2 linked regions of the Notamacropus eugenii genome follow. The protein of the gene in region 1 interacts with the protein of each later gene in a biochemical or structural test. Links are inferred from orthologs where the notes say so. Each region holds a gene or a part of one and is shown in the gene's direction. Other genes may lie near its edges. The genes, in order: ARAF and GNA12.

The links.
Region 2: the proteins of ARAF (region 1) and GNA12 form a complex in vitro, tested with the Homo sapiens proteins (2 studies listed by BioGRID). The link is inferred for Notamacropus eugenii from reciprocal best matches to the Homo sapiens genes ARAF and GNA12.

The regions. Positions count from the first base shown.
Region 1 is NC_092879.1:101,767,145-101,771,053, forward strand, and holds the start of ARAF (serine/threonine-protein kinase A-Raf), read left to right. Parts: upstream 1-900; 5' UTR 901-1,363; intron 1,364-3,274; 5' UTR 3,275-3,300; coding exon 3,301-3,441; intron 3,442-3,560; coding exon 3,561-3,664; intron 3,665-3,747; coding exon 3,748-3,909. UniProt on the Homo sapiens protein: Involved in the transduction of mitogenic signals from the cell membrane to the nucleus. May also regulate the TOR signaling cascade. Phosphorylates PFKFB2.
Region 2 is NC_092874.1:385,310,018-385,313,926, forward strand, and holds the start of GNA12 (guanine nucleotide-binding protein subunit alpha-12), read left to right. Parts: upstream 1-1,232; 5' UTR 1,233-1,814; coding exon 1,815-2,135; intron 2,136-3,909. UniProt on the Homo sapiens protein: Guanine nucleotide-binding proteins (G proteins) are involved as modulators or transducers in various transmembrane signaling systems. Activates effector molecule RhoA by binding and activating RhoGEFs (ARHGEF12/LARG).

The DNA.
Region 1 (3,909 bases):
GGCTCCCTTCTTCATTGACCTCTCCTTAGGGGTTCTTTGTAGTCAGTCCCCATTTTTCTTCTCTCTTTGGCTGAAAACTGACAGGAACGGATCTTGACTGGAGGTGATCAGGACACTAGACTTTTTTCCTCAGTGGTTTTCCAGATTTATCATTGAGTTTCAGTAATCGATTCACTTTCCTTGACTGGACTATGACAAAATGAAAAGCAGAGCTCAGCCTGAAGCTTTTATCATTGGTGAGCAGCCTCTCCTGAGCTGCCCCAGGTCTAACGCGTCTAGAGCTCTCTTCCTTGAGGATTTCAAAACTGTGTGTGTGTGTGTGTGTGTGTGTGTGTGTGTGTGTGTGTCTCTCTCTGTCTCTTCTCTCCTCTCCTCTCTTTGTGTGTGTCTCTCTGTCTCTGTCTCTCTATTTCTCTCCCTCCCTTCTCCCTCATTTCTCTCCTCGAACCAGTGCTGAGAAGGCTGGGTGACAGACAGAGCTTGCCCTCAGGTGACCTTATCTTCCCAGGGAAACCCATGGGGGGAGGGGGAGAGGGAGAGGGAGAGGGGAAGAGAGAGAGTCCGAAATGGACAACGGGAGAGGGGAGGGGGAAGGCAATAGGAATGACGGGAAGAGGCGGAATGGAGTGTTTGCTCTAGAATTCTTTCCTGGGACAGTCAGCTCACTCAAAAGCACTCATTCCGCCACATCCTTAACCCCCGAGGCGGGTTGCAGCCCCAAGCCTGCACCACCCAGTTCTCAGTCAACTCTTTGCCCCACCTTTCTCCTGGTCGGCTTAAAGAGCCACAACCAACACCAAGACCCAGGCAGCCAATGAGCTGTCTAAGAGACTGGAGAAAGCCAATGAGAGTGCACCAACGGAGAAGTGGGAGGAGGAAGAGGAACAAGACGCTCTGACCAATCATTGCAGGCCTAGAAGGGGTGGGGGGAGAAGTAGCCAATGGACACTCGACAGAGGTGGGGCTCCCAGGATTGAGAAGGTAGAGGGCGGGGCCTGACAACTATTGAACTGAGGGAAAACTGCTCCTGAAGTGACCGATGTGCACTCGGGAGAGGTGGGGCTCCGGGAGAGTGAGGGATTGAAAGGAAAGGGGTGAACTCCCTGAGTGGCCAATCAGTGTCATCTGCCTAAGGAGGAGAAAGCATCCGCCAATGAGCATGGAATTCTGGAGGAGCGGCGGCTCCTATAGTCAATGAGATTGTGGGTAGGGGCTTTGCTGGAGCTGAAGCGACCAATGGGATCTCGACGGGGGCAGGCCTGACGGAACAGGGGCCTTGAGGCGGCCGTGGCCGGTTCCACCCTCTGGGAGAGGAAAGATGGGCCCCAAGATGGAGGAGGCCACTGTGCCAGCACCGTGACAGGTAAGACGACGCCAGGCTGAAGCCACGGTGGCCGTTCTGTATTACTTCCTGTCTTATCCCGTGCCTCCCCCCTTCACGGAAAAAGAATGGAATCTCCCGTCGCTGGGAGGGGTAGCTGGACGCAACGCGCAAGCGCGAAGGGAAGGGGGAGGGGCACGGGATTTGGTTCCTTTAAACTATCTGGCTGCTGGCGCCTGCGCACAGAGTCCCTCCCGGGGTGGGGCTATTTCCCACCCCCTCTTCACCGTCGTCTCCCCCCCAAAATCTTTCCATTCCACCTACCCCTTCTACCCCTTGCCCCTTTTTGGCGCTTGGAAATCCCCACCCACACTCGGAAACTTCGTTTTCCCTAGTGATAAGAGCTTCCTGGTTATGGCTCTTGGAGATCCTCTGCTAACCCCAATATCTAGGTCCTGCGAAGAGTTTTCAGAAATTTTCGCCTCCCCTCATCTCAGCCGCGCCTCGGCCCCCCCCCCCCCCCCCCCCCCCCCCCCCCCCCGCAACAGTCCAAGTCCCTTCGAAATGAAGGCCCAGGGACACTGGGCGCACCTGTGGGTTGTCCCCACCCACCTGGAGTCTGGCAACCACTTGAGTAGCCACTGGCTCCCCATATAAGTACTCAGGCTCACAAGGCTGACCACAGAATCATGGAAATTTCCCAGAGAGTACATACACACACAGTCACCCATGCACAGGGACACGAGGGGCACACCACCCCCCCAATCCCAAATCTTTGACTTATGATATTCCCCTGGGTGGGGCTCCAGCCAATTATAATGTCAGGGTTTGCCCTTGCTAATCACTCTGATTTTTGCTTCCTGTAGCTCTGCTCAACAGGTGCTGGTTGTTTCTCCAAGGCCCACTCACTGTATACCATAGCTCCACCTCTGTGTTCCTTTGCTGATGTCCATAGTGCTGCCATTCGCTTCCCCAGGGGCCCAGCTCTAAACATTGATCCACATGGAGTGACCACTCTGAAGTCCCTGCCTTGTCCAACTGTGTTTACAGCTGAAAGCATGTGTGAAGAACAGTTAGGGGGTCACAGCTCCCCTGTACCTTTGCAAACCTTATTTGTATTCTCGAATCCTGTGCCCCTGCCTTGGCACAACAAAAGGGCTGTTGGGGTGCTGTGGAAATGTTCCCCTCCTTGCTTTGTTCAAACATGTCTCTATCTGCAGGTTCTGGTGACTCAGTATTGTTTACTTTCTTTCCTCCCCAGCACCCAGGCAGCAGCTCTACTGCTTGTTTCTGTGGCAGCCCCACTCCCACTTCAGAGTTGGCCCCGAAATCATTTAAGCTCCTTCACAAAAGATCCCTAAGGATTAGAATTAGGGCTGGAATTAGAGGGTAGGATGGATGGCACCAGCTGTTGGGGGCAGGAATCATAGTCTCCTATCCCATCATGCTTGGCCATCTGACAGTGCTTAGAAATTTCTATCTCCACCTTTGTCAACCTCTGTTATGGGAACTAAAGATTTCCTGATCCACACACACCCTGCCCCCCAAGAGTTCAATGTCTTCTGATCTTCCCCCGCCCCAAATAGTCTTATCCCCATAAATGGTAATGAGAGATCTTGAGCCATCCCAACATCATTGTCATTCTAATGGTGCTTGCACAGCATAGGGGTCATAGGGCTAAAGCTGAGAGGGAAGAAAAGTCATGTAATCCAACCTCATCATTTGACAAAGGAGGAAACTGAGGCGAGCAGAGGTGAAGTGACTTGTCCAAGTTTACCCAGCTAATACATGGCAGAGCCAGGATTTGAACCCAAGGCTTCCCACTCCAAACCCAGCACCCTTTCTGCTGCACCAGTGTCCAGCCCACCATCATCCTTGTCCCCTCAGTAAAGTATAGAGATCTATAGCCTAGCCCATCATCGTTTCCCAACAGTGTCTTTCCCCACCTTTCAGGTCACTTGAGTGTGGGGGGGGGCAAGATGAGACGAGGCCCGACTGCCACCCCTGTGGAACCCTCCAGGGGCTTAACCCTACCTGAAGATCCTGATGCTATCCCTTTCACCAGCAATAGGGTTGGGGGCACTGTGAAGGTCTATCTGCCCAACCAGCAGCGCACAGTGGTGAGCAAGCCATCTGGGAAAGATCAGGGGCCCTGCCCAGGGAAGGAAGAAACTCCTAATCTTGGGAGCTGGGACAAGGAGGGAAACTTGGGAAAAAGTAAATCACAAGCATCTGTTAGGTAACTGCGAGAGATGGGATGACCGTCTCCGACTCACTGGACAAGGCGCTGAAGGTGCGGGGACTGAACCAAGACTGCTGCGCTGTGTATCGCCTTGTGCAGGGGTGAGCTCCCTGTTTGTCCTCCCTTCTCCCAGTTCCCCTAGCCCCCTCCTTCCCCATATGACTCATCCTCTCGGCCCCCTTAGCCGGAAGACAGCAACAGCTTGGGATGCAGCCATTGCTCCCTTGCATGGGGAAGAACTGACAGTCGAGGTCCGGGCTGATGTTCCGCTTGCAGCTGCTCACAACTTTGCCCGGAAGACCTTCCTGGCTCTCACCTTCTGTGACTTCTGCCGCCGCTTCCTCTT
Region 2 (3,909 bases), on another chromosome or scaffold:
ATATCAATGATCAAATTCATGAACTACTTTTTAATTCACATTTGCCATTCCAAAAGATAATTGCTAAAGCCCTGTTTTAGTAATGATTGATTCAATGTAACAAACATTGTTTACTAGGTCCAAAACCTTGTGCTAGATCTGAGGGAAATACAAAGTATCCCAAAAGTCTTACTATGGTTTAACCACAGTACAAAGGTCCTTGCCTTTGCACAGCTTAAAGGAGAGGTTCTCATACCAAAGTGTTTAACAAGTTTCACTCTTCACTTAAGTGTAGTGTAAAGGTTACTGACCAAATCAGATTACCATGTGGCCTCAGTTACTAACTAGCCATGTAACTAAGTGGACATCTCAGTTTTCTCAGTCCATAAAATGGATACCCCTCATACAACATACCCCTCTGGAATTTTATGAAGAAAGTCTTTAGCATTTGAGCTATATAAATGCAAGGTATTATTTAAATTAAAAGGTTCTTGTGAAAAGCAAATAGCTTAATTTATTAATAGTCTATAACTGAGGGAGAACATGCTGAACAATTTTTTTTTTGCTTGCAGTGTAGTCAAAGGTTAATGTCTAAATTTGCTCATTGCTGTTTATTGTTTAAACCCGAATTCTTTTTTGTTTTTAACTTGACACATAGGACTTGACACATTGTCAGTGACTGGTTTAAAATGTACCACTCCCTTCTTCCCTGCATCTAGAGATACTCAATAAAGATGGCTTTAAAGAACTGAAGCTTTTTGTAAAGCCAGCGGGATGGTTTTCACGACGATCCGAAGTCATTTCTGGGAATTTTATAATATAGCCCAGTCCCCTTGATGCCGAAAGTCTAATGGTTCTTCTCCGTGACTCTGTAGCTCTCTAGACCTTTAGAGTACCCAGAAAACTGGGACCGTGTTCGGTACACCTGGCACTCCTAGTGCCACGCCCATCCAAAGGTTAAGATCCAATCCGAAGACAACCCAAGATGATTGGCTTGCTTAGGGAGCAATAGCAGCCTGCATCAGTGGGTGGCCGTTCCATCCCCCCGAGTCCCCGCCTCCCTTTCATTCTGAAAGAAAGGAGCTCTGCTGAGAAGTCCAATGGGAAGCGTAGAGTCCGAGAACGACGTCTTGAACCCCGCCTCCCATCCACCGCCCCTCCTCCCCGACCCCGCCCAAATAGGGCTCTGCAGCCTTCTGGAGGAACCACAGACCAATCGAATAGCGTTCTGTGTCAGATTGACAACATTCAGCCCAATCCCTTGGGCCAAAGCGAGGGCGACCCACGCCCCTGCATGTACCCCTCCATCCCTCCCCCCCATCTCCTACCCTCGGCGGGGGGTCGGAGCGGCTTGCTGGGAGCTAGTGTGGGCTTGGGAGCGGGCGGTGGCGACGACTGCCCCGGGTTCTGGGTACTGACTCGGGGACTCGAGTCCGAGTCTCCGCCCGCTAGGATTTGGAGGCCGCCAGCGGCCCGGCTTCGCCCCCGTCGGTCCCCCTACTCCGCCTGTCCGGGGGTCGCCTCCGCAGCTCCCCGCTAGCGGCCGCGCCCCTCGGCCGCCTCCGCCCCGGGCCGGAGGAGCGGCGCTCCCCTCCCCCTCGGCCGTGGAGCCGCCGCCCCCGGAGGGCGGGCTGGGGCTACTCCGATGGCCCCCGGCTCCTAGCCGGGGGAGGAGGGGGCTGGGCGCCTTCGGGATCCGGGCTCAGCGCGGCGGCGGCGGCGGCGGCGGCGGCGGATGCAGACGGCCGCGGGGGGGCCGTGAAGGGGCGGCCGCCGCCTCCCGCCCCCGCCGTGTTCGCTTCGCTCAGTCCGTGCTCTCCGCGGCCGGCGGGGCCATGTCCGGGGTAGTGAGGACCCTCAGCCGCTGCCTGCTGCCGGCCGAGGCCAGCGGGCGGGAGCGCCGGGGCGGCGGCGGCGGCGGCGGCGGCAGCAGCCGGGACTCGGAGCGGGAGGCCCGGCGGCGGAGCCGGGAGATCGACGCGCTGCTGGCCCGGGAGCGCCGGGCGGTGCGGCGCCTGGTGAAGATCCTGCTGCTGGGGGCCGGCGAGAGCGGCAAGTCCACCTTCCTGAAGCAGATGCGCATCATCCACGGCCGAGAGTTCGACCAGAAGGCGCTGCTCGAGTTCCGGGACACTATCTTCGAGAACATCCTCAAGGTGAGGGGCAGGGCGCCCCGCTGGGGGCGGGGAGGCGTTTGGGGGGGGGGGGCGAGGCTCGAGCATCGCCTTCCTTCCCCTCCCCTTGGGGGGCTCCGCCGATCTCTGGTGCCTACCTGGTGCAGGTGAGGAGACTGACCGCCCTCCAGGTGCGGGGCCGGGACGCAGTCCTGGGAGCGCTTGTGGTCGGGCCCGCGGCTACCTGGGGGTGAGAAAGTCTTAATCCGGTTCCCTAGTCCCCTGGCCAGGGACGGAGGGAGCAAATCAAGCATTTATTAAGCACCCACTCTTTGCTTTACCGCAACCCTGGCACGTATTAGGAGTTCCATCTTATAACTGAGGCAGAGTTTAAGTGGCTCCATCAGAGTCATCCAGCTAAGTGGATTTGAACTCATGACTTCACCGCCTTGCAGCCTCTGCGAGGTACTAGACTGGGTGTTGGATTTGGCGAAGGGTCAGCAGGACCCAGGTTCCAATATGGACCCTGGCACTGTTTAGAACTGGGGAGTTCCAGAAGCAAGTTTTAAGTTGTGTGACCATGGGCAATCCCCTTTTAACTTTTCTAAGCCCCATTGCCCTGATTGCTAAAATGGGGATAGGAATGTCTCAGACTTACCTCACTGAGTTCTTGTGGGGATCAAATGAAATAATGAGTAAGATGCTTTGCCAGCTTTAAAATGCTATCATAAATATAGTTTATTTATGTGCCATTTTTATCTATTTCCTGGCGTAGTGTCCAACAGATAGTAGGCACTTAAAAATGCTTAGTGAATTGCATTGAAATTGAGTTAAAAGTGCATACGGATATTTTTGTTTTCGTCCTGTATTTTTATAACTCAGACTCCCTTTTTTGCTGTCACCAAAAAGTAGTCTTTTCCTTTATCCTGATCATCTTTGGATATTGTAGGGTGGATGGTAAATTAGGCCCTCGTTGGTGCATTTGGTGTGTTGATCTTAGGGGTTGGAGAGACCATGACTGCACTTCTAAAGGAAAAACCACATTGGGAACTTGGAGTAGCAAACCACTGCATGTTGGCTGCTTACTTTAGAAAGTTGCTGTATGATGTCTGTGGTTTTCCCACTCCACCCTTTAGAGTCTTCAGTCAAAGCTGATGAGGAAGTTGTTCTTGCTTTTTTCAGGACTGTGCAATCAGAAGAAAAAGCCCCAAATATGTTTTAATGTTATCTAGTGTTAAAAAGGGTCACAGAGAACTTTGGGGAAGTCATTGAGTGGATGTAGAGCTGACCTTTCTCTACCTAGGTATAATTTTTGACTTACTCTTTCTCTCCTGGTTTTTAAGTGATCATATTTTCAGGCCTCAAAATTGGCTTTTTACTCATTGTGGAAATAAGGGGAAGGGAATGGGACCTGAGGACCCAGAGAAACATTGTGAAATTAGTTATTTCAGGGAACTAGCCTGCTGTCCTGGAGGCTATGGATTTTATCTTGCATTTAAGATTTTAGAACTGGAGATGTCTTTAGAGATTGTTTAAGTTTAATCTTCTCATTTCACAAATAAGGAAACTGAGGTCTAGGAAGATTGACCTTTTGAAGGTCGGTCTAAGTGGCACAGCCATGTGTAGAATAGGTCTCCTGACTAGCTCAGTGATTTTTTTCACTAGACCATGTTGTTTTTCCTTTATAGACTTTTTAGTCTATAAAAAAATAGAAATGGATAGGAAAAAATAAAGAGAAAAACTGACACATATCTCTTTTCTTCTTTTCTGCCTTTTTCAGAAGATTAAAAGTTTAATTTAGAACTTTAACCAAGTA